Linked DNA regions of Saccharomyces cerevisiae S288C. The gene in region 4 interacts genetically with the main gene of each other region. Each region holds a gene or a part of one and is shown on either strand. Other genes may lie near its edges.

Region 1 (5,149 bases), on a different chromosome or scaffold from region 4:
AGCTAAACGTCAAAACGTGTAAAGCACCTATTATCTAGTCTCTTTTCCCTAGTTGTACTTTAAATCAATTTAGTGATGAGATGAAAAAAAAAAAAAAAAAAAAAAGAATTCCAACGAAAAAGAAACGACGGGCAGGGCAACCTTTAGAGATTTCAATCCGTATAAAGAGATGTAGTAGGCAGTACGGGTAACATCGTCACAATTCATAATGGAACTATCTAGCTTTTGCTTGATTGCAAAGTTCTACACCCGTTGATACTTCAAACATCTTTGCAATACGTAGGTAGGGGTCGCGTACTAGCAGCCTCCTAGTTAAGTGTATCTTTCAATCGCATTACGGAACAACTAGGCATCCCGAACCCCACACGGAAAAATCGGAACAATAACTGAAAATTTCCTTTTTCTTTTTTTTGCTCTTCAAAGTCTCTGCCCCTCTATTGCGTACTCGATTGATTTTTTTATCAAAGGCCATCTCAGACAAGTAGATCTACATTGGAGTTTCTCATAATATTATCACTATCGGAAGGTAGCATAACCTTTAATAGAGTTTCCGCTGTTTGCTTGGCTCGTTTTTTTGTTTGTACTATGCCTATTGGCGCAAAGAAGACAGAGTGTGCAAACAAGAGATGAATCAGAGCGATAGCAGCTTGATGGATTTACCACTGGAGATACATTTATCATTACTAGAGTACGTGCCTAATGAACTTCGTGCTGTCAATAAATACTTCTACGTTTTGCATAACCACAGCTATAAGGAGAAGAGTTTGGCGTGGATAGCTGAGGACAACTATATATGGGCCGTTGTCAAACATTCATTATGTTTATATGTCAAGAGTTTGGACCCACTTCGACAGCATGCCAGAGAAATCATTCAAGAAACGAAGGAACCAGGTTTTAATGTGCCACTGTGCATGACTAAATACATCGCAGATTCTTGGTATATTGTATACAATGCGCTGCAATATCCTGGAAAGATAATTAATATGGGATGGGACAAATATACCAAAAGTCAAGATTCAAATGGTTCTGATTCTACCAGTAACTTTAATAGTCGGCCCAAGGAAAGAACTCTTATGCAGTCGTTGACAGCTTTACCTGTTAACTTTTGGTCCAGGAGGAAGGACGAGCCTACACCGGTAAACGTTTGGTTTTATGTAAAAAATGCGCACGTTGCCAGATACATACCGAAAATTATTACGGAAATAGGCATATGCAACTATGGGCCGAAGCAGATCGTGGCAAGTGCAGGATATATCAACGAATTGATAACATCTGAAGGAATATACTGTGTTAACCTAGGCCACCTTCCCAGGCTATACGATGAGCAAATTTTTGAAGGCACTGGAACGACACATCTTCCCCTGGAACTGAAAGCTATCGACAGGACAGATTCAGATGTTTGTATCAATGGTGATTTAGTTCTACTCGGTTATGACTTTATTCCATATCAGATATCGAAGCCGTGGTTACTCTTTAGAATCGAACCCGTAAATAGCATTGAAGCAATCTTCAACTATAGTGAATGTTCTTTTTCATACCAGTTTGCATGGAGTTTGGCCTGCTTACAATCTGAAGAGAAAATTTCATTTCCTAGAGACACGATAATTGGGCACGGTTTACCTTACAAGCCATCCAAATTGATAAGAATTTTCGTCTACAAGCATCCGGAACAAAAGCAAGATCTTGGTCAAGAAATAGCATTGCCCAACTGGAATACCCCTTATCTTCGAAGATGAAAAAAAAATTTATCAATTAGTCTATAATATATGTGTATATACGTCTATGCACCTACCTACTTATAAATGGATATAATATTCTTGCAATGATGAAAATATGTATAGTCAAATTTCATTTTTTTCAATTGATAAATGTACTTTCAATGATGGAAACTCCTTCATCGTCATCGAATTTAGACTTCTGGCAGAATTGGTAAATGAATGGCTTCATGTTTGCCAGATTTTCAGCAATAGACCTAATGAAAGCGGGCAGCTCACTCATTATATCGTACCTATTGACTAATCTTAAATTAGATTCTTCAAAACCACGCGGAAATGAAATGGATGTAGGATATTTCCAACCATTTTGCTTATCCTCTTTTGTAGATGGAAATTTAACAGCATGATCATTTACACTTGACCCGACCTCCAAAATTTTGTCCTTATCACTAACCGCCCATATAGTCACTGTAGTGCTGCCATATTCTTTTGTTGTGGTGAATTCAATACACATCATCGAACGCTTCTCACCATTGAAACAAAGAAAATTCCATTTACTAGCCGCCTTATTGGGTATTAGCCCCTGGACAGCATCCAGATACAACATAGGCGTGTCCTTCAAGTCCAGCTTCACAGGTTTATCGTTTTTCTTGTATGAGATGGTACCATTGCAAAAACCTCTAGGAACAAAAACATGTCTTATCATTTTTCTGGACGTACTAGAAGAGTCTCTTTTTGCTAACTCTTCCAAGCTGATGCTCTTGTCAAGGTAATAATTGGAACCGTCCGGGTTTATTATGAATCCTTCTTGTAAATTTACGGTAATGTCAACCTTCAAATCTTTTAGTAAACAGCTTGTACTTCCCTTCGGAATATCTATCTTAATTAATAATTGAGCAAATCCACTGGAGGAAGAATTTTCCAAAGGTACGAAGTGAAACGTAACATTGTCCGATTCAACTTTTAACGTATCAAAATCTTTGATATTATCAATTTTAAAGCTTTCCCATATATCAATGTCTTCTTCAGAGTTTTCCTCACTGCTGGCTTTAAATATTTTGAAATTTAACTGAAAACCTTTGTATATACCGCCCATAACACTGGAATATAATAGTTGAATTAATCCACATTTGCCGTTGGTGAGATCCGTAAAATACAGAGTTTGTGTCTCTATTCTTGTTTCCGTTGGATTTCTTACTGCTTTTAATAAACTATGTGACTTGAACTTTTTGTGATTTGACGTCCTGCAAAACCATTCTAGTTTCGATGTATCCTGAAATTTAGTATAATTAGCATGATCCTTCTCGGATAAAACTTCCTTAACGGGGGCAAATTTCGTCTTCTCCTTTTTGATCGCAACCGCCATTTTTTCTTTGCTCTATGATTTTTATGTTAATTAAACTGTTCGTTGCCCTAAAATTTTGAAAATTTCTCGAATATTTAGAGAGAATCCGTCACTATTTTAGTATCTATCTTGTCTATTTATATATAAAATCTCATTCCCCTGTTATGGTTTTTGCCAAGCCCTATCCCAAAAAACCAAATGATACATGATAAACCTATTTATCCTCTTTAACAGACCTATCGTTTAAAGCTTTTTTATTGCAAACCCTATTCATTATGGCTTTTTGACCTAGGTCTCATTGTGACTTCTATTTTTCACTGTTCAGTAAAAAAAGAAAAGTGATTAAAAAGTATCACTATTTCTGTTAGAAAGCAAGTAGCTATTTTGATTGGTAATTATATACACATATTGAAGGAGGCCGTAGTATTTTCGTTTAAAATATATTACAGTAAGATAATGTCTGCTACATCTTCAAGTGGTGACGTGAAAAAATTTCAAGCTGTACCAAAACCAACGAGCAATGCATCACCACCACCAGCATCGAGTGGGTTTAACGCAAGGACCCTATGGCCGGATTTGATAGAAACACCAGAAAACCAGTGGGTTTTTGAGTGCAAAGATATTATTGAAAAGATAGGCACTAATGGACCGATAGCAGTGGAAATAAAAAAAAATATGGAAAAATGCTTAATGTACTTTTACACACTTAAAAAAAAATTAAATCTTTTTGATCACACCTATACGGCATCATGCATTCTATTTTACAGGTATTGGTTCATATATGGAATACCTACAGCCATAACTGAATGTATTCATATATCACAGGGAATTCTGGTCACCGCTTGCAAAACAATGGAGAATAATAGGCCTATAGAGGCCTATATTAAGGCGACTTGTGAGTTTTTGATGCAAAATATACCGTCTTTAAAAAGTCGAACAAATATTGATAAACTTAAATGGGAATTTAGAGATAAGTTAGTGACGAATGAAAAAAAAATACTATGTTTATTTGGCTTTGACTTAAATATCAGTAATCCAAAAGAATTGATTGAAGAAGTGTTCAGTGGCTATTATAGATTCAACAGGGATCACAATCTGCCAGAAAACTTTAAAAAAGCTTTTCCAAAAATTCTTCAAGAATCAAGAAATTTTATGGTCCAAGCTGTCACCCAGCCAGTTTCTTTATTGTGCGACGGTTATACGTTCATTGTACTATCTCTCATATACTGTGGTTTAGAGTATAAAAAGCTTGTAGACAAAGATTTCAGATATCCGAAAAACTTCTTCAAGGATAGATTCCCTATCGAAGTAACGCCGGAAAATTTTGCCAATATCTTTACCGATTACAAGTTACTGGAAGAGAATTTTTTCAACTTAAAAAGTAATAAAGGTGCTAAATTACAAATTGATTCAAGCATGATTGATTCGGTGATTGACGAAAGTGGCGATGTGGAAAATGAAGTTTCAGAAATCTCTGATCCGTTTAACTACGAGTTGATTAAATCCGGTGAGGTGAAGGAAGAGTTTTTGAATCATATTGAAACAAGGGTTAAAGATTTACTAGATAAGGCTAAACAAGAAAGTATGAAGAGAAAGGCTAAAGATCCTATAAGAACCCCAGATGCCAAAAAACCTAAAATATAAAAATAGAGTACAAGTTATGTTTAATTGGAGGGATCAGTAAAGGTTTGATATATACGTGACAAAATGTCCGGCAAGTTCCCTATGTTATCCTGATAGCAATATTTCCAATACTCAATCCAATGATCATCTGTTTCTGGATCTTTAGGTGAGTCAAAGCGCAGTTTCTGCTTCAATTTTGTTTTCATCTTGTCTATTATTATTCTGGGATGTCTGAATTGGTAAGTTCGGGGATGATAATCGTCCAGAGATTCTGAACAGTCATTATCTTCGGATATTTTTTCAGCAACAAGTAATTTCCCCTCCATAGCAGTCAACAGTACCTTAGGTAGTTGGTAGTCAGTTACTTCATCAGGATTGTCACAAGCATCAATAATATTTTCGATGATACATAAGCATTCTATGGTCAATTTATCCATTTCAGATGATGCTTCGAATGTGTATTCAT
Region 2 (5,178 bases), on a different chromosome or scaffold from region 4:
GTTTATAGGCCCCAGTATTGTAGCCTTACCATTTTGCCCAATAGACAGTGAAAATTTACCGAAACTGGAAGACCGGCCGTGAACCTTCATTGAAGACGATGACACAACAATTGAAGGTGATTGGTAATCCAATGAGGAGGGCGTTTGCATTGAAGGGGCTCTGATTGGCGAGAAGATAAGAGTGTGGCTAGATTGCGGTGTGGAGCTGAATCTCTGCTGTTGTTGCGGTGTTGTGTATACCATTGATTGGTTTAAAAACTGCTTCCTTGCTAAAATCTTTTGTAAAACGAAACCGATAAAGAAGAATAACAAACTACAAAGTAGAAGAATGAATACAGCTGTGCATGAATGTCATATTATGAAAATATTTCATTGCGTTAAATATAATTTCCAGGCCTTTTTTTGCACTTTAACGCGTTTCGCGTCAATTACCCAATTGAGTATAGAAAAAGAGGCAACTCAGGGAGATTATAGACATTTGATTATTTAATTACAGCTTGTTATAAAGGACGAATATCTGGCTTGGGTCCCAGGGGCGTAATTCCCAAGGGGTTGATCCTTGTGTGGGAACGCGTGTAGTGTAACTTGATATGGTCAAAATCTGTTGTGTACCTGAAGGCATCATAATTCCAGTATAAATTTCTTACCCACAAATGAATAAATGGATATCCGGCTCTAATAGAGGTAAAATTGCATTTGAAATGTTGGACGTACACAGGATCGAATCTTATGACGGTAGTATACAATCTAATGTCAGCTTCTGTTAATTGATCACCCACAGTGAAGAACTCACCCAAGATTTTTTGTCTATCTTCTTCACCGTATTTGGCCTTCAATTTGGAATATTTGTCACTCAGGATTTTCTCCACTTTGTCCAAATGTTCAAATACGTTGTTGACTTCACTTTCGTAAACTTCTGCTTTCTCTGCGAATCCGGTCTTGTATACACCATTGTTGATGCTGTCGTAAACCCAAGAATTGAAGTCATCGATCTGTGTTTTCAACTGAGCAGGAACAAGGTCCGTTTTCTTGTGATCGTCGTCGACAAATTCATCGAACGCACTAGAGTTCAAAATCCTTATAATTTCGCTACTTTCGTTGTTAACAATTGTTTGGGTTTCTAAGTCCCACAGGACTGGGACGGTGAACCTTGCCGAGTATTGAGGATCGCTCTTGTAATATAAGTCACTGATTCTCTTGTATCCATAGTGAGGCTCATTGGTAGCATCAACCATGAATCTTTGACTGTCATTCTTGATCTCGGCGAAGCTCTTGCTGGAATCCTCTTTAGCAGTTCTAATACCACCTGCAACATCGTGCCAATGTTCCAAAAAATCTTCACTGTCCTCCAATTGCTTTTCCATGTCCAAAAATCTCCATCCTTTCTCGTCAAGGTGCCAATGGACTACGCTACATCCTATAACAGAGGTTAATCCCTTCAAAGCCCTCGTAATTAGTGTTCTATGGGCCCATGGGCATGCAAGTGAAACATACAACCAATATCTTCCCTTTGCTGGCTTATAAATTGGGTGTTGCTTAGAGATTGTTTCTCTGAAGGACGAAACCTGTCTTTTGAAAGCTCCGTTTGTACCACTCGCCCACTGTTTCGACATTTCTTATTTATCTTGCGCAGGGTTTGGGTAAATTCTCGTAAGCACTGTAGTGATGGTAAGAGCAGCGTTACCTAATTAACTACCTTTATACAAGAAATGGAAAAGGGTTGAGAGGGGTTGGACGCTAAGACAAATAAATAGGGGTGTGAAATTTCAAGAGCTGACTAATATCTTAGTAACGGAGAACAACAGAGAACAGATGATAAAACTATATTGATACGTTCAAAAGGTCTTAGGACCGTCTGAAGAGGTGAAATAAAGATGGAAAAGTTTGCGTCACCAAGCCTTTTGCGTCGGTTTCCTCTGTAACACTTTTTAATTCAAAGTGTTAAAATCTCAACTGTATACCCTCTAATTTGCATAATAATGAAACTAAATGTAAAAAAAAAAAGGAAAGAAAATCACTCCATAATCAGGGTAATGAATCATTTTACAGTGTCATTTGCATGTTCATACACATACCCTTCTTGACAGAATGCAGGAAAAGCCTCAACTATTTATCGGACACATTCGCAAATGTCCATTGACGAGTAAAACGTTTCCGCGTCACTACATTCGTCACTACACAACTTTAAAATACCTTATTTTTTTAATTATGCGGAGTAAGTATCTTTGCAGAACTAGATGGTTGGATTGAGCAGTAGGCATCAGTGACTCGAATTGGTGCTCATTTTTATTTTAACGTACGATTTGTTCAGGCCTTGCTATGACAAGCTTCCTGACGAAATCATACTGCAAGATACATAGTCCCAGTCCATAAACTAGTAGAATGACAAAAAGAAACTCAGAACATACATAACACGATAGACAACGTATTCACGGTTTTGAACCCCACGTAGTATCCTTCTAAATGGCATTGCCTTTACCACATGAAAAACTAAGAGAAGAAAGCTCTCTGCACTAATCATTATAAACGACAGCGGACCCGGAAGCGAGTACCCGAATAGGCCGGGGAAGGAAAAGATAGAAAGGAATCTTTTTTTCTTCCCCCCGCTCTTTTTTTTTATGCTTTTTGGGGTTTTTCCGGCAACTTTCAACAGAAATGCCGTAGCCGGAAAAACCGAAAGCGGGGGACAGTGAAGCGTGAGAGGGGCGAGACAGGGGGAACTTGAATGGGGTATTTTGCTTTTGCTGCATTTTTTCCGCTGGTACCTCTATCTTTAGGCGACCGGAAAAATTCATTTTCTCATCTTTTTTTTTTTTTCGTTTCCGACTCGATACTCTTTACAAAGAAACCCCCGCGGGGAAATGTTAGATTTGAGCTTTTTCCGCCAGGAAAAGAAAAAACCTGGGGACATTAATCTTGTTTTTTCTTTCTTCTTTTGTCTTCCCTTGGATGACTGCAGAAAAAGTACAGTTACCGGGTCTTAGCAAAAACAAACATATATATATATATATATGAAAGCGTATGGTCAACACGGTTTTATAGGTTTTACTTTTTGCATTCAGTTCAACTTTGGCCCTTTCTCTTATCGCATTCAGATACTACACACAAGTGTTCATACACACACAAATAGATACATATACAGAAAATGACTAGTTTGGACGATACAATAATTTCGTACCAGAATATAATGTTACTGGATAACATGACCAACTACAACAAGCCTGCGATTGACTATTTCCATCATGAATTTAATGATGCAAGCTTGGAAATATCGGCTTCATGGACACTACTATTGAAGATGCGCAAACATAAACTACTTCGATTACCAAGTTGCTCTTCAGAGGACGTGCTAGATTACAACATGTACCTCGTTAGGCTACATCATTGCCTCTGGAGGCGTTGGTCCATAAATCACTATGGTTTACAGAACTCCAAATCCAATCCACTGTCCATCAACTGGAACAAAGAAACCGATGTAACGGTGTTGTACGGTCCAGATTTGACTAACATAGATAGTAATGAAAACGAAATATCGCCGGTCCAGAACCAAATTGACCAGAAACAAACAAAAAATCTAAAATCTGCTTTAAAGAAAAATACGGAATGCTGGGTAACCGAGGAGGTGGATGAGATTAACGCTTCTATAGAGAGCAATGACAACGCTTTGGTGAAATTAGAAGACATTTCATGCCCATCGTCTGTTGATTCTCACACGTCTTCCATTTTCGACCAGCATTCTACATGCACTAAAATTTCCTCCATAGATGAAGATTCTGAAGACCTTATGAACGAAAAGAAGGAACAATTCCCCAGGAAGTTGAAGTTTAACCAAGCCGTGATGAAGAGGGAGATCGACTCAAAGGGGACTATCCGCGAATCCCTCATCAACATAAACGATATCCAACATTCCCGCCACCATCGCCGTCACCATCGTCGCCATCATCACCATCACCATCAAAATAGTTCTCATTCTGATGAAACAATAAAAGAAGCTCATTATGAGTTCAGCAACTATACATTTGGCACTATGGAAGAAGACATTTTTTATAGGAACCAGGTTGTTTTTTAAAGGAGAGTTTGCTCTCTTCTGCATTTCCACATACACATTTGATGTTAATTTACATACGAGTATACTCTCGTACACAACATATATATATATATATATGTAATATATTCATAGCACTTACTTATTAATGAAGGCCATAAGCCAAACAACATCTCACCATTTTTCTTCAGGGTTTTCTTTAAACCTTAGGTAATCCTCTTTGTTGAAAAGCGAAATTTCGGTTTCATTCTCAATGCCATACTCGAACAGCTTTTTTTTGTCATTCTCTATGTCTAAAGTCCAGTCGTCATCGTGGTCAAAATTGATCACGAGATTAACCGTCTTGGAACCATGTGCGTGCGTGTATATCTTTAAAGTATCAAACTTAACATTACGGAATGGTCTGAATGAACCTTCATTTTGAATTTTGTTCAAAACGTCATTGAACAGGTCCTTTGCAGTTTTATCAGCAAGATCGTAATCGTGCAGCACTATGTTCTTGACGTTTCTATATGGGAAAGATTTTATTACTCGGATTGTAATAACGGAGTTCTTTAGTGGTCTGGCATTTGAGGTTAATGGCTCTTCCAAGTCATAATCATGAAAGGTTGTTGACATTTTCAGCCTTTTAGTTGAATTCATGAAATAATGCAACCAAACAAGAAAAAATTTGGGGGAGGTAGTCTACGCATTTCAGTTCTAACTTCCTTCCTTTTCTTTCACTATTAATTGAAACTTATTTTCATTTTTTTTCTTTAGCATTGAACGCCGAATCTAAAAAAGTAAAGAACTCCTCATAGGGGGCTCGAACCCCTGACATTTCGGTATCCTTGCTTAAGCAAATGCGCTTAAAAGCCGAACGCTCTACCAACTGAGCTAACAAGGATGAGTTCTTCGGAGGGCTAACTCATATAAATAACTAATAAAGGCGAAATAGTGGTCACCACCATCACACTACACCCATATCAACGACAAGAGTTTAATTTGACCGTGGAAATTTATTACTGCTGATTTGGGTTCTATGATAAATCCTCGTAACGTAGAGACTATGTTTTTATATGCGCATTAAGTGCCGGAAAACGTGAGAAATAGGCTTTCCGGAGCATCAAACCTGAGGTTTCATAAATTGTGTT
Region 3 (5,001 bases), on a different chromosome or scaffold from region 4:
CACAAAGGCACACGCAAAAGTTTGGTTGATATTGGATGTGGCACAGGAAAAGCAACTTTTGTCGTTGAACCCTATTTTAAGGAAGTGATTGGGATTGATCCTTCTTCTGCTATGCTTTCGATTGCTGAGAAAGAAACAAATGAACGTAGATTAGATAAAAAGATTAGATTTATTAATGCGCCTGGTGAAGATTTATCCAGCATTCGACCAGAAAGTGTAGATATGGTTATTTCAGCAGAAGCCATCCATTGGTGCAATTTAGAAAGGCTGTTTCAGCAGGTTTCCTCTATATTACGAAGTGATGGAACTTTTGCATTCTGGTTTTATATTCAGCCGGAATTTGTGGACTTTCCCGAAGCCTTGAATGTATATTACAAATATGGATGGAGCAAGGATTATATGGGTAAATATCTGAACGACAACCAACGGGAAATTTTGTTGAATTACGGTGGTGAAAAGCTACGTTCTTTATTGTCAGATCGATTTGGAGATATTGAAGTCACAATTTACAGTCCTTCGGACCCAAATGCATCAACAGTAACGGCTGAAAACAGTCAGTTTCTCTGGAGAGCAGCTATTACTCTCAATCAATTTAAAGAGTTTGTGAAAAGCTGGAGCATATACACTTCTTGGGCTAGAGATAATCCCTCGAAACCGGATATTGCCGATATATTCATTAACGAGCTCAAAGAAATCTGTCATTGTGAAGATTTGAATGTACCTTTAAAAATAGAGTGGTCAACGTTTTATTACTTATGTAGGAAAAGAGAATGAGGTTTACTAAATTAAAAGAAATATATAAAAAGCTGATTTTTTTCTTTTTTTAAATATTTCCCAAATGCTAATAAATATTAAAATATGGCAAAAAGAAAATAAGGTGTTGTTGCGCAGTTGGGAGTAATTTAAAACCGTCAACATATGCTCTAAAAATTTTATTGGCTCTAAATTCCGACCTCTGAATGTAATTATGTTTTAAAGCGATACGTAAACTTGTTACTGTTAACATTAAAAGATAATGCAATCATGGTAACATAATAAAGTCTCAAAAAATTCTTAATATTAACTATAACATATGCACTTCAGAAAGCTGTTTCCGGATCATATCTCATTATAAAAAGCTCAATTTATAGAAAAATAATGCGACAGTGCAAAGTAAACAACTAAATTTGGTGCCTACACCGCAAAACGATATCGAGTCTTAGAAGTATATACCTCACCACGTCTCAAAAGAACGCAGTCTCTCCATCCATCACGGTTGATTGCGTCAACATATCTGCCTTGTTCAACGGCAAAGCCAGATCTCGGCGTAAATCCATCACACAAGTTGTCACCTGTGTAAAATAGGACAGTTGGTTCTGTTGTTGAAACCTCCAATGAAAGTCGTGATGCCGGATGATAAGCCTTGAAGGCAGGGACGAGCTTGTTTACACTTACTGAGTCTGTCGTTTTCAAATTCTTATTTTCATCAACAATGAAAGCGTAGTCATAAATCGGGCCATCATCCTGCAGAATGGTAGGTTTGGAGGAGTCAAAAGTAGCAATTTTTCTTTGAACGATTTTACCGGTTGGAATTAGTGCTCCTTCGCTTACTTCCAATGATTTATCTGAGCAGAGCCTAACCTCCGTACCGCTAATGGATTTTTTATCCATAGTTTTGTTTAAATTGAAGTACGTGTGATTCGTCATGTTGATGGGAGTAGCCTCACCGCTGACCAGTTTTGCCTCGTATTCCAAGTCCAAGGTCATGTCAGCAACGTTCAATGTGTACTTTAAGTTTACAGCTAGATCTCCCGGAAATTCATTGGGCAGTGTGCGGTCATCCAATAACGTAAATTCAACAATGTAAAGGTCATCAAGAGGATTTTGGACTTTGGATGCCTTATACTTCTTGAGATGGAAGGAGCTGATGCTACTGTGGTTGGTGTTTCCACAATTGTTCACTGTCAACTGATGAGGTCCATCTTCCATACTGAACATGCCCTTGTAAATACGATTTGCATAACGGCCAACAGTAGCACCAATGTAGTTGTAGCCATCTGATATATAGCCATGAATATCAGGGTATCCTAGAACAATCGATTCGTTGTTCACTTTCAAGTCAAGCAAAGTAGCGCCAAGCTCTGAAATTGTTGCTTGAAGCTTTTTTGCATCACCAATAGTGATGACTTCATATTCACCGCCAGCCTTATTATTTGACATTATCACTTTTTGGCTTTTTAGGTGAATTTACTTATTGCAGTAACATAATGTACAATTGAGTTCCAGTACTTCGTAGTACATTCTGATTTTATATCTCAGAGCATCCAAGGTGTTTACGCATGAATAACCAAACCATGGAGGAGTTACTTTTACCTTTTTTTAAGATATTCAGCTAGTAACTAATTGTCGGAAAAACTTAACAGGTACAAGGCCATATTATCACGTAACAAACCTAATTTTTGTACGATATTAGTGCCCGAGAATTTCTCCGTAGCGTAATTTTCTGCGAGAATTTCTGCGCAGTGCAAAGATATGCGACCTGACACTCTTTACGAAACTTTACCCCTCCCCCACCTCCACCTGCATTTATCCCGTCAAAAAGTGTCAATCACCTGGATGCATAAGGAGGAAAAATTATTCCAAGGATGTTGGACAACGCGAATTTTGGAAGTGACTTCTCATAAGCTTCTGATCTCTACTATATTCTTGTAATTTGGTGGGGTAGTGCAGGCTTACTGTGCGATGAGCAAATCCAGCGTATTGCTCACAGCGATAGGCCTTTGAAATGATATTGTTTGAATGCAAAACGCAGAAATGATATTCAACTTCATAATCTCATTAAACAAGATAGCATGCCAATAGAATTCCATTTTTTCCGATTCTTAGGCCATTTACAACCAAGTATCAACTTTCGTATAATTTTATTTCCATAATTATACGCAAATGCTGCAGTAGTTGCACATAGAATGATGATACGACCTAATAAAGGAAAAGGGGAATCTGTTCTGAGCTGAAAACTGATTCAAAACTCAATTTGGACACTCGGTTCGGGTGCTGGCCAGCAATAGTTTAGTGTTATCATGTCATAATCTTCCTCATAGGTTTCAATGTAATATCGATAATTACAAAGTAGTTCCTTTTCATTTAAATTTATATGCAAGAAGATAAGAGTTGATGTAGCAGTGCACCAGTTTTGCTTTACAATTCTTACAGTTTTATGAAAAATAATCTCCAATATGCCATGCTGAACTGGCATTCTTTTTGAGTGCAAAAGGAGGTTTTGGAAAAACAAAGTCTTCTTCTGCGTGTTACTCTGAAAATGTTGAAAAATAAGCTGAATGGGGCATTACATGTTTTCATCCAAACATGCCTTGTCAATAACGAGATTCGCGACGTATTCTTTTAGTATTCTGTTCCTTTTTTTTTTTGCTCCGCGCGCACTTGAACATCTTGCATATTTTTCTTTTCTGTTTTCATCCAGAGGTTGTGTTCTAGGACTTTCTGACGGAGGAATATCATCAAATCATCACAATAAGATCAATTGCATGGGTTCCAGCACTTAGCCAAATGTACAAATCTTGATATTTACCGGAGACCAACCCTTAGTTTGAAGTGTGCGCTACCAGGGAATCTTCTTCGGTCATTATTTTCTATCTTCACGATAATCGATCCTCCTCCTATACGTTAATATCGACTGATATCTAAATACATCGTTGAAGAACGGCGGAAAAATACTTATTTTCAGGTTGTCTTCGTTTTCACTCACGATAGCAATATGGATCCTTTCACAGCTCCTATCACCGCTGTAGTTTTTTATGACGCTTAATTTCCTGTTAATAAGTAAATAAGGTAAGTTGAAGGTCCTTCATACTGTGATCTGCAATAAACCACATGGCTACCGCACTTCTTGTCACTATCCTATGTGGAGAAAACCCAGAAAAAACTTTAAAGCGTGATTGAAATCAATAATTTGGCAAAGAACTAGAACCATACGCAAGAAAACCTTCCAACTTTGGCATTGTACGCAGAAATGAGACACGTTCAAAGCACAGGTCTTGAAATTTAAAAAAGTTTCTCAAAAGTTCTCCCAAACCTTCAATTTCTATTGGTATAACAGTATTCTAGGAAGAAAACAGGCGAAGAAAGTTTCTTTACTTTCTTCCTTTAATAGACTTTCATGAATATCAAATGCTGTTGTTTTCAACTAAATCAGACAAGCAAAGGCGATTGCTAAAAGTGAACATATGGAAAATATATGGAAAAAATCTAGAGGCAACAAACGTTCGGGTTTCCTTTTAACTCCGAGAAAGAAAAATCATTAGAACTTCGTGTTAATCCTAATAGAGTTCAAATATGCTACTAGTCGTCAGAAACCTCAGTTACATGATTACACATTCTAAGACTTCACAAGTGAAAAATTTCCCGACGTTCATAGCATGTTACGTGATCGCGCAGGATGGGACAATTAAACGATCTTTGCAGTGGAGAAGGAATAACTTCCGGTTGCAGCTACTTGTCAAACAGAACACTGGTATGGATAAGATAATAGTCAGATCTTTTATTACTTATGAAACAATGTCAGTAACACAGCGTGTTTAACAGATAATGTTCTTTTAACAAAATTAAATGAGGTCTTTTATTGTGTGTGTCAAGTTGACAAGCCGCCTTTATTGATAGATCCCCACTAAAAATACCAGGAAATGATGAGCTCGAGTCTTTGTGCCTTTCTCATCATGGACCATTCGCACATGCAGTGCTGCACAACAAAAGATAAATCACCAGTATTAGGTGACTTTCAAAACACTAGAATTTAGGCACTTTCAACCCAGCCCAGCGCGTAGTAAGAATAAAGTAGGGGAAAACCTTACGAAAAGCCTCTTTCTTTTTTGTAAAAAATTCTGTTTTTAATAGCCAGTTCTTTAGTGATTACAGGTAAGAGGGTTTCATATTTTAGAAGTGCAGCCATGATGAAGCACTTTTGCTCATTTATTGCGAGAAGTTTAATAAGTAGTATGGTTCCAT
Region 4 (5,286 bases):
GACTATGTCTCGAACTACACTAATGAATACCTGTCCTGGCCAGAACCAGAAGAGGTTTCTGATCCTTTGGAAGCCCAAAGATTGATGGCTATTCATCAAGAAAAATGCAGACAGGAAGGTACTTTCAAGAGATTGGCTCTTCCAGCTTAAACGCACTTCGTCACTCCTCGAGCGTAGCCTTCCTCTACGACTTGTTTATGATTTCCCATTAGGTTTTTTTTCCTCCCTGATATTTAGATATTTACTATTAAGATATTATTTATGAGCCTTTTATTACAGCTTCTTTTCCCTTGTAATTATCGTACTTGCCTCCAAGTATCGAAAGTCTTGTGTTGCCTCGATTTACCACTTCAAATGCTGTAACCTGCACAATTTACGCCTGAATTAGGTGAGGGATAAAGACTGTTTTTAGGTGCGGCTTATTCAAAAGTATAAAAGTAGATAGCGTGGAATATATAAGGACATATTTCTTACACAAACGCACCAAAAAAGAAATCTGATTAATCGAAGGAAATCTGCGCAGACATTGCCGTGAGAAGTGAAGCCTTCTTGGTAACAGCCGGATCATCACCGATAAAATTAGTAGGAAAACCAACATCAAAAGGAATAATACTTTCTAAGTATTCTATCTGTTCTGGTGTCAGTTTGATACTTAAAGCCTCAATGTTCTGTTTGAGGTGTTCAATTTTCCTTCCACCAACCAATGGGAAAACATTTTTCGCCTTAGAGCGAACATAGGCAATAGCAATAGCAGTAACAGACTCAGTGCCATGTTCCTCAGCAACCTTGGCCAATGCTTCACTGATCTTAACCTCTTTATCCGTCTGTTTAGAAGTACCCGAAACAGTACGCAGACCCTCTCCATTCTTCTTCCGTTCCTCCATTGCTTTTTTACTCTGAAATCTTCCACCTCCCATAACATCCCATGGGGCTAGAGCCATACCAAAATGTCTGGCCATTGGAATGATATCGCGCTCAAAGTCCCTGTTCAACACATTCCATTTACCTTGATAGATACTAAAAGGAGTTTTCCCATGAGATGTGGCGTAGTAGTTTGCCGCAGAAACAACCCAAGCAGGTGTATCAGACACACCCAAATAGAGGACTTTGCCCTGCTGAACTAAAATATGCAAACTATCCATAACTTCTTCGATTGAACTCATATAATCCCACCAGTGAACGTAAAGTATATCAATCCAATCAGTTTGCAATTTGCGGAGAGAATCCCTCACACTCACATGTAAACTATGCTTGTGATTACCACAATAGTTGGCACTTTTACCGCCACCTACTTCATACTTCTTATAATCTCCGGTAAACTTGGTGGCAATTACAATTTGGTCACGCAACTTTCTTGATTTCATCCATTCACCTATCCAAATCTCTGACTCTTCATTTTGGTAACTGTTTGCAGTATCAATGCAATTACCTCCTGCTTCATAAAAAGCATCAAGAAGTTCAAAAGCCTGTTCCTTATTCATAGAGCCCATAAAGCCTGACCATGCATCGCCGATTGAAGCTCCTCCCAGAATTAGCGGTGAAACTCTTATGCCGGCAGTTTTAGAAAGAACCCTGAGACGTCCCAACTCGGTAGGTGGTTCAGGTAGAGGTTTAAATAATTCACTAATATTATTGAATAATATTTTGTAGCTATAGGAAGTGTATTCTAGTGAAATACAAAGCCGCTCAGTCAATTCGTCAGCTGGCCGATGAAAGGAAGAACTGCAACTGTCCTTGATCTGGAAATATTGTCATGACTTTTATATGGTTCAAAAATCTGCCCCCAATTTGTTCGAGGATATTTAGTGCAACTTAGTTGGGTCTTGGAACGAGGTCTGCTTACTAATTTTATGTTGACGGTTGAAAGCGGATTTTAAAACGTATGAATTTAGAAGAGAGCCAATCAAATAGGGGTACGCTTAATATTAAAAAAATATTAGTAATTGTTTGTATGACGAATAAAATTTGTAAGCACCTGATCCAATCCTTATTATTGAGCAAGAGACGTCTTGTTTCTGTACTCTTTGATAACTATCAAGGCGACATGAAACTAAGGTCATCTCCATCTGCCATTCCTCTAGTTCCGTCAACGAAAATTCTTCAAGCTATGGAGGCCCGGAACGACATTGTTGACAGTCTGATCATCAATAGTCACGCAACGGAAAGTGATCGCCGGACTTTAGGAGACCATGAGGTTAGACAATGTGAGGATACCAACTTCGGCTTCAAAATTTGATACAGGTTAATTTTGAAGGCAACATTTAGGTTCGGCCTTATTTAAAAAAACCTTCAGGTACGCGTTCAAGATCCCATTTTAAAGGTATAGGCAGATTGCACTATTTTACCGGCAAATGTGCGAATATCGAAACTGGAAGATGTTTTCAAGAAAATTGATTTAAGATCCATTTGTCGTGTTTAGAGTTCTCATTGTTCTGGTCAATGATTTCAAACTCAAAAGGCACAAGAAACTTACAAAATTTGTTTCTTATGAACATTACGCCATGTTCTTTGCGAGCATGTGCTATACAGTCTTGCTAGAAAATGGCCCTATAATTAGAAAGCTCAAAAAATAACCCAATGCTGCATCGATTTTTGGAGAAAGGGGGTCAATCATCATCTATCTTCATAAATAACGAGTTGCAGAAAAATTGGAAACTGGTTGATTTTGAAAAGTTTTCATTTTTCTGGCAACAAATTATAGCTACAAAAAAAGAAGTTATGGCGCATAAGATGCATCAATATATGGTGTGACCAGATTGGACGTAACTAGTACTCATGTTATTATTCATATCCTTCATTTTTCCTTCTTTTCTTCTCCTTCTCGAACAGTAACTTCAGATTGAAAGACGTGAGGATGCTTTAGAATGCACATTAAAATTAATATACTACTGGCCTCTTGTGTTTGTCATTGGCTTCTATTTTCAATAAAACATCCAGACAACCCTGCTGTTAATTTTGGAAAAAAAATTTCGCCGATTCTAATCATGTGACTCCTTTTCCCCAGGCAATACCGGAGAAAGCGTTCTATCTCAAACTATATAATTTGCGCTGCTCGTCTCCAAGCCCATGCTAGTGTTTACTTTCGGTTGTAAAAGGTAACTAGAAGTTTTAACGCAAGCATTGTATTATATTTTCCCACAATTGCTCTTAAGGACCTTTTTTTTTCTTGCGTGATCCTGCACTATTGAAAAGTCTTTATCAAAAATAGATGAAACTTTTTCAGGGTTCAACATTTAGAGGCTTTTCTCATATTCTTTACTCAGTTGCCTGCGAAGACCCTTCTGCCCGCTGCGCATTTTCTTAGAAAATCAAAAAAATTGCCTTTTCATCTTTTACCTTCCGAGTTGAATATGTTGACTATTTGCAAACAGGCGTATGATTGTCGTATATAACAGGGCACTTTCGGCAGTGAATCAATAGGAGGCGTATAAGAAAAGCCAATTAGTACCTATATATATATATATATATATATATATATATATATATTCCTTTATTATAATTCCTATCAGCGATTTTTGCATCACACCCAAGAAAAATCTATAATAGAGACACAAAAAAATGAACGTAACTGAAAATGCTCTATTGTTTAAGTGCGGTAGCAAGGGCTATATTAATCAAACCTATACGCCGACAGAAATTTATAATTGTGGGGTAGCTGAAGGAAAGAAAACTGCTAAAGAAAAGAACCCAACTTATTCAATTTTTTATGATACATTTCTCACTGGGCAGCCTGCTGAAAGTCCTGAAACGTTTACGTGTGGTTCGCATGGCTTCACAAATGCGAGTTATGTGGCAAGCGACTTTTATGCATGTGGTTTTCTGCAAGGGAAAGGTACAGAAACCAATGCGGGAATACATAATACAAGGCCTTCTCATTCTCTCGCCAAATTTACCATACTGTTCATGCTAGTGTTGTATACAATTGTCTAATTCTCAAGGTATGACACTTTGGATTGGTGGTCGCAGTAGCCACCATATAATTTTTTATCGTTTCTACATATAATACGAGACAGTCAGACAGAACTTTGGGTCGCCTGAGAAGAAAGACTATAAAAATGTAACCCGTCAGTAGGACTCATCTTAAAACAGTGGGTAATTTACTAAGGAGGCTGGAAAAACTGCGATAATCGGCTTATAGTACATATATATAGAATAATCATTAATCGAGCCTTTACCGCGAAATTCATGGATTTCTCAAAAACAAAGGTGCAATTACATGTTAAGCACCGAATTTCTATGCGAAACAGGTCCGTCTCATCAGTCATAGCTTTCCAAGTATATAAAACTTGAACGCAAAAGTGCGTCATCGACGCCTTTTTTTGCGCAAGGATTGTTACTATTCATTTAATGAACTCTGATGTCTTAATAAGCCAATGGTATCCATAAGTGAAGGTGAAGTCTACTGTGTTACATTAGCAAGTCAGAACTCCTATACGATACAGTATACTGCATTATGGGCACTAAAATAATTTAGATTATAGAAAATATCGATACTATGCTTCCACTTCTCACGAAGCGGCCATGTTTTAAATGAAGTACGTTAACGCTAACACAAGGCTTGACAACTTTCATGAGCGTCAAATAGTCTACGTGTGGGCTCACTTTTTCAGATTTCTTCTTGGCTTTTGTGAGATGTATAATTAACAATAATCATAAAATCGCTACATAAAACAAAGCATAAAAAATTACAGATTTCCTGTTCAAAAATCAAATCGGTCCAGTTCAGCTATTGTTCTGCCGTTGTTCATGCTCAGAAAATTGGACCATGGTGTCATCTAACTTTAGTTGGTCCCATTAAGCTCTCTTCTGTATATCATGTTTGCCATATTGTCATATCATCTGCTTAGTATTAAACCGTTGTGGAAAACAAGAAAATTGCGAATTACTAGTATAGAAAATGCATTCTAAGTCGCCTGTGATTCCAATAGCAAAGAAATTGATCTTAATGGAAGTAGGAAATAGCTGTGGCAAAGAGACAGGATACTAAGATTGGTTTAAGGCGAGGTCATACTTAGCTATTTCCTTCACCAACATTGGTTTTCGAACAGTCAAGAGATGAAAACGCAAAAAAGTGCACTATAAAGTAAATACTCAAACGTTCCCAAAACAAAACGAGAAGAAGCGATAGGCACCTCAAAACTGAAATTATGGGCAAACAATATAACCCGTAAAAGATCACTTTACGACCAGAACATAATCAACATGGGTGGCCCCCATGTTGTACTCAGTTAGCTTTTTGAGCTAGCAAATATATCAAGAAGCCCGCATGTGCTACTTACGTTTGAA

The links.
Region 1: mutations in AAD4 (region 4) and YLR225C together harm fitness more than expected from each alone (negative genetic interaction), as found in Saccharomyces cerevisiae (one large-scale study listed by BioGRID).
Region 2: mutations in AAD4 (region 4) and ECM4 together harm fitness more than expected from each alone (negative genetic interaction), as found in Saccharomyces cerevisiae (one large-scale study listed by BioGRID).
Region 3: mutations in AAD4 (region 4) and YHR210C together harm fitness more than expected from each alone (negative genetic interaction), as found in Saccharomyces cerevisiae (one large-scale study listed by BioGRID).

Annotation. Positions count from the first base shown.
Region 1 is NC_001144.5:585,838-590,986, forward strand, and holds YLR225C (uncharacterized protein), read right to left. Parts: upstream 3,082-5,149; coding exon 1,858-3,081; downstream 1-1,857. Other genes in the region: UCC1 (Ucc1p), read left to right, coding at 627-1,736; BUR2 (Bur2p), read left to right, coding at 3,517-4,704; ADY4 (Ady4p), read right to left, coding at 4,725-5,149.
Region 2 is NC_001143.9:578,718-583,895, reverse strand, and holds ECM4 (S-glutathionyl-(chloro)hydroquinone reductase), read right to left. Parts: upstream 1,614-5,178; coding exon 501-1,613; downstream 1-500. Other genes in the region: MSA2 (Msa2p), read right to left, coding at 1-243; YKR075C (uncharacterized protein), read left to right, coding at 3,146-4,069; AIM29 (Aim29p), read right to left, coding at 4,220-4,687. UniProt on the Saccharomyces cerevisiae protein: Active as '1-Cys' thiol transferase against beta-hydroxyethyl disulfide (HED), as dehydroascorbate reductase and as dimethylarsinic acid reductase, while not active against the standard GST substrate 1-chloro-2,4-dinitrobenzene (CDNB).
Region 3 is NC_001140.6:519,539-524,539, forward strand, and holds YHR210C (aldose 1-epimerase superfamily protein), read right to left. Parts: upstream 2,200-5,001; coding exon 1,174-2,199; downstream 1-1,173. Other genes in the region: CRG1 (S-adenosylmethionine-dependent methyltransferase), read left to right, coding at 1-774.
Region 4 is NC_001136.10:17,077-22,362, forward strand, and holds AAD4 (putative aryl-alcohol dehydrogenase), read right to left. Parts: upstream 1,491-5,286; coding exon 501-1,490; downstream 1-500. Other genes in the region: THI13 (4-amino-5-hydroxymethyl-2-methylpyrimidine phosphate synthase), read left to right, coding at 1-150; YDL242W (uncharacterized protein), read left to right, coding at 1,883-2,236; YDL241W (uncharacterized protein), read left to right, coding at 3,559-3,930.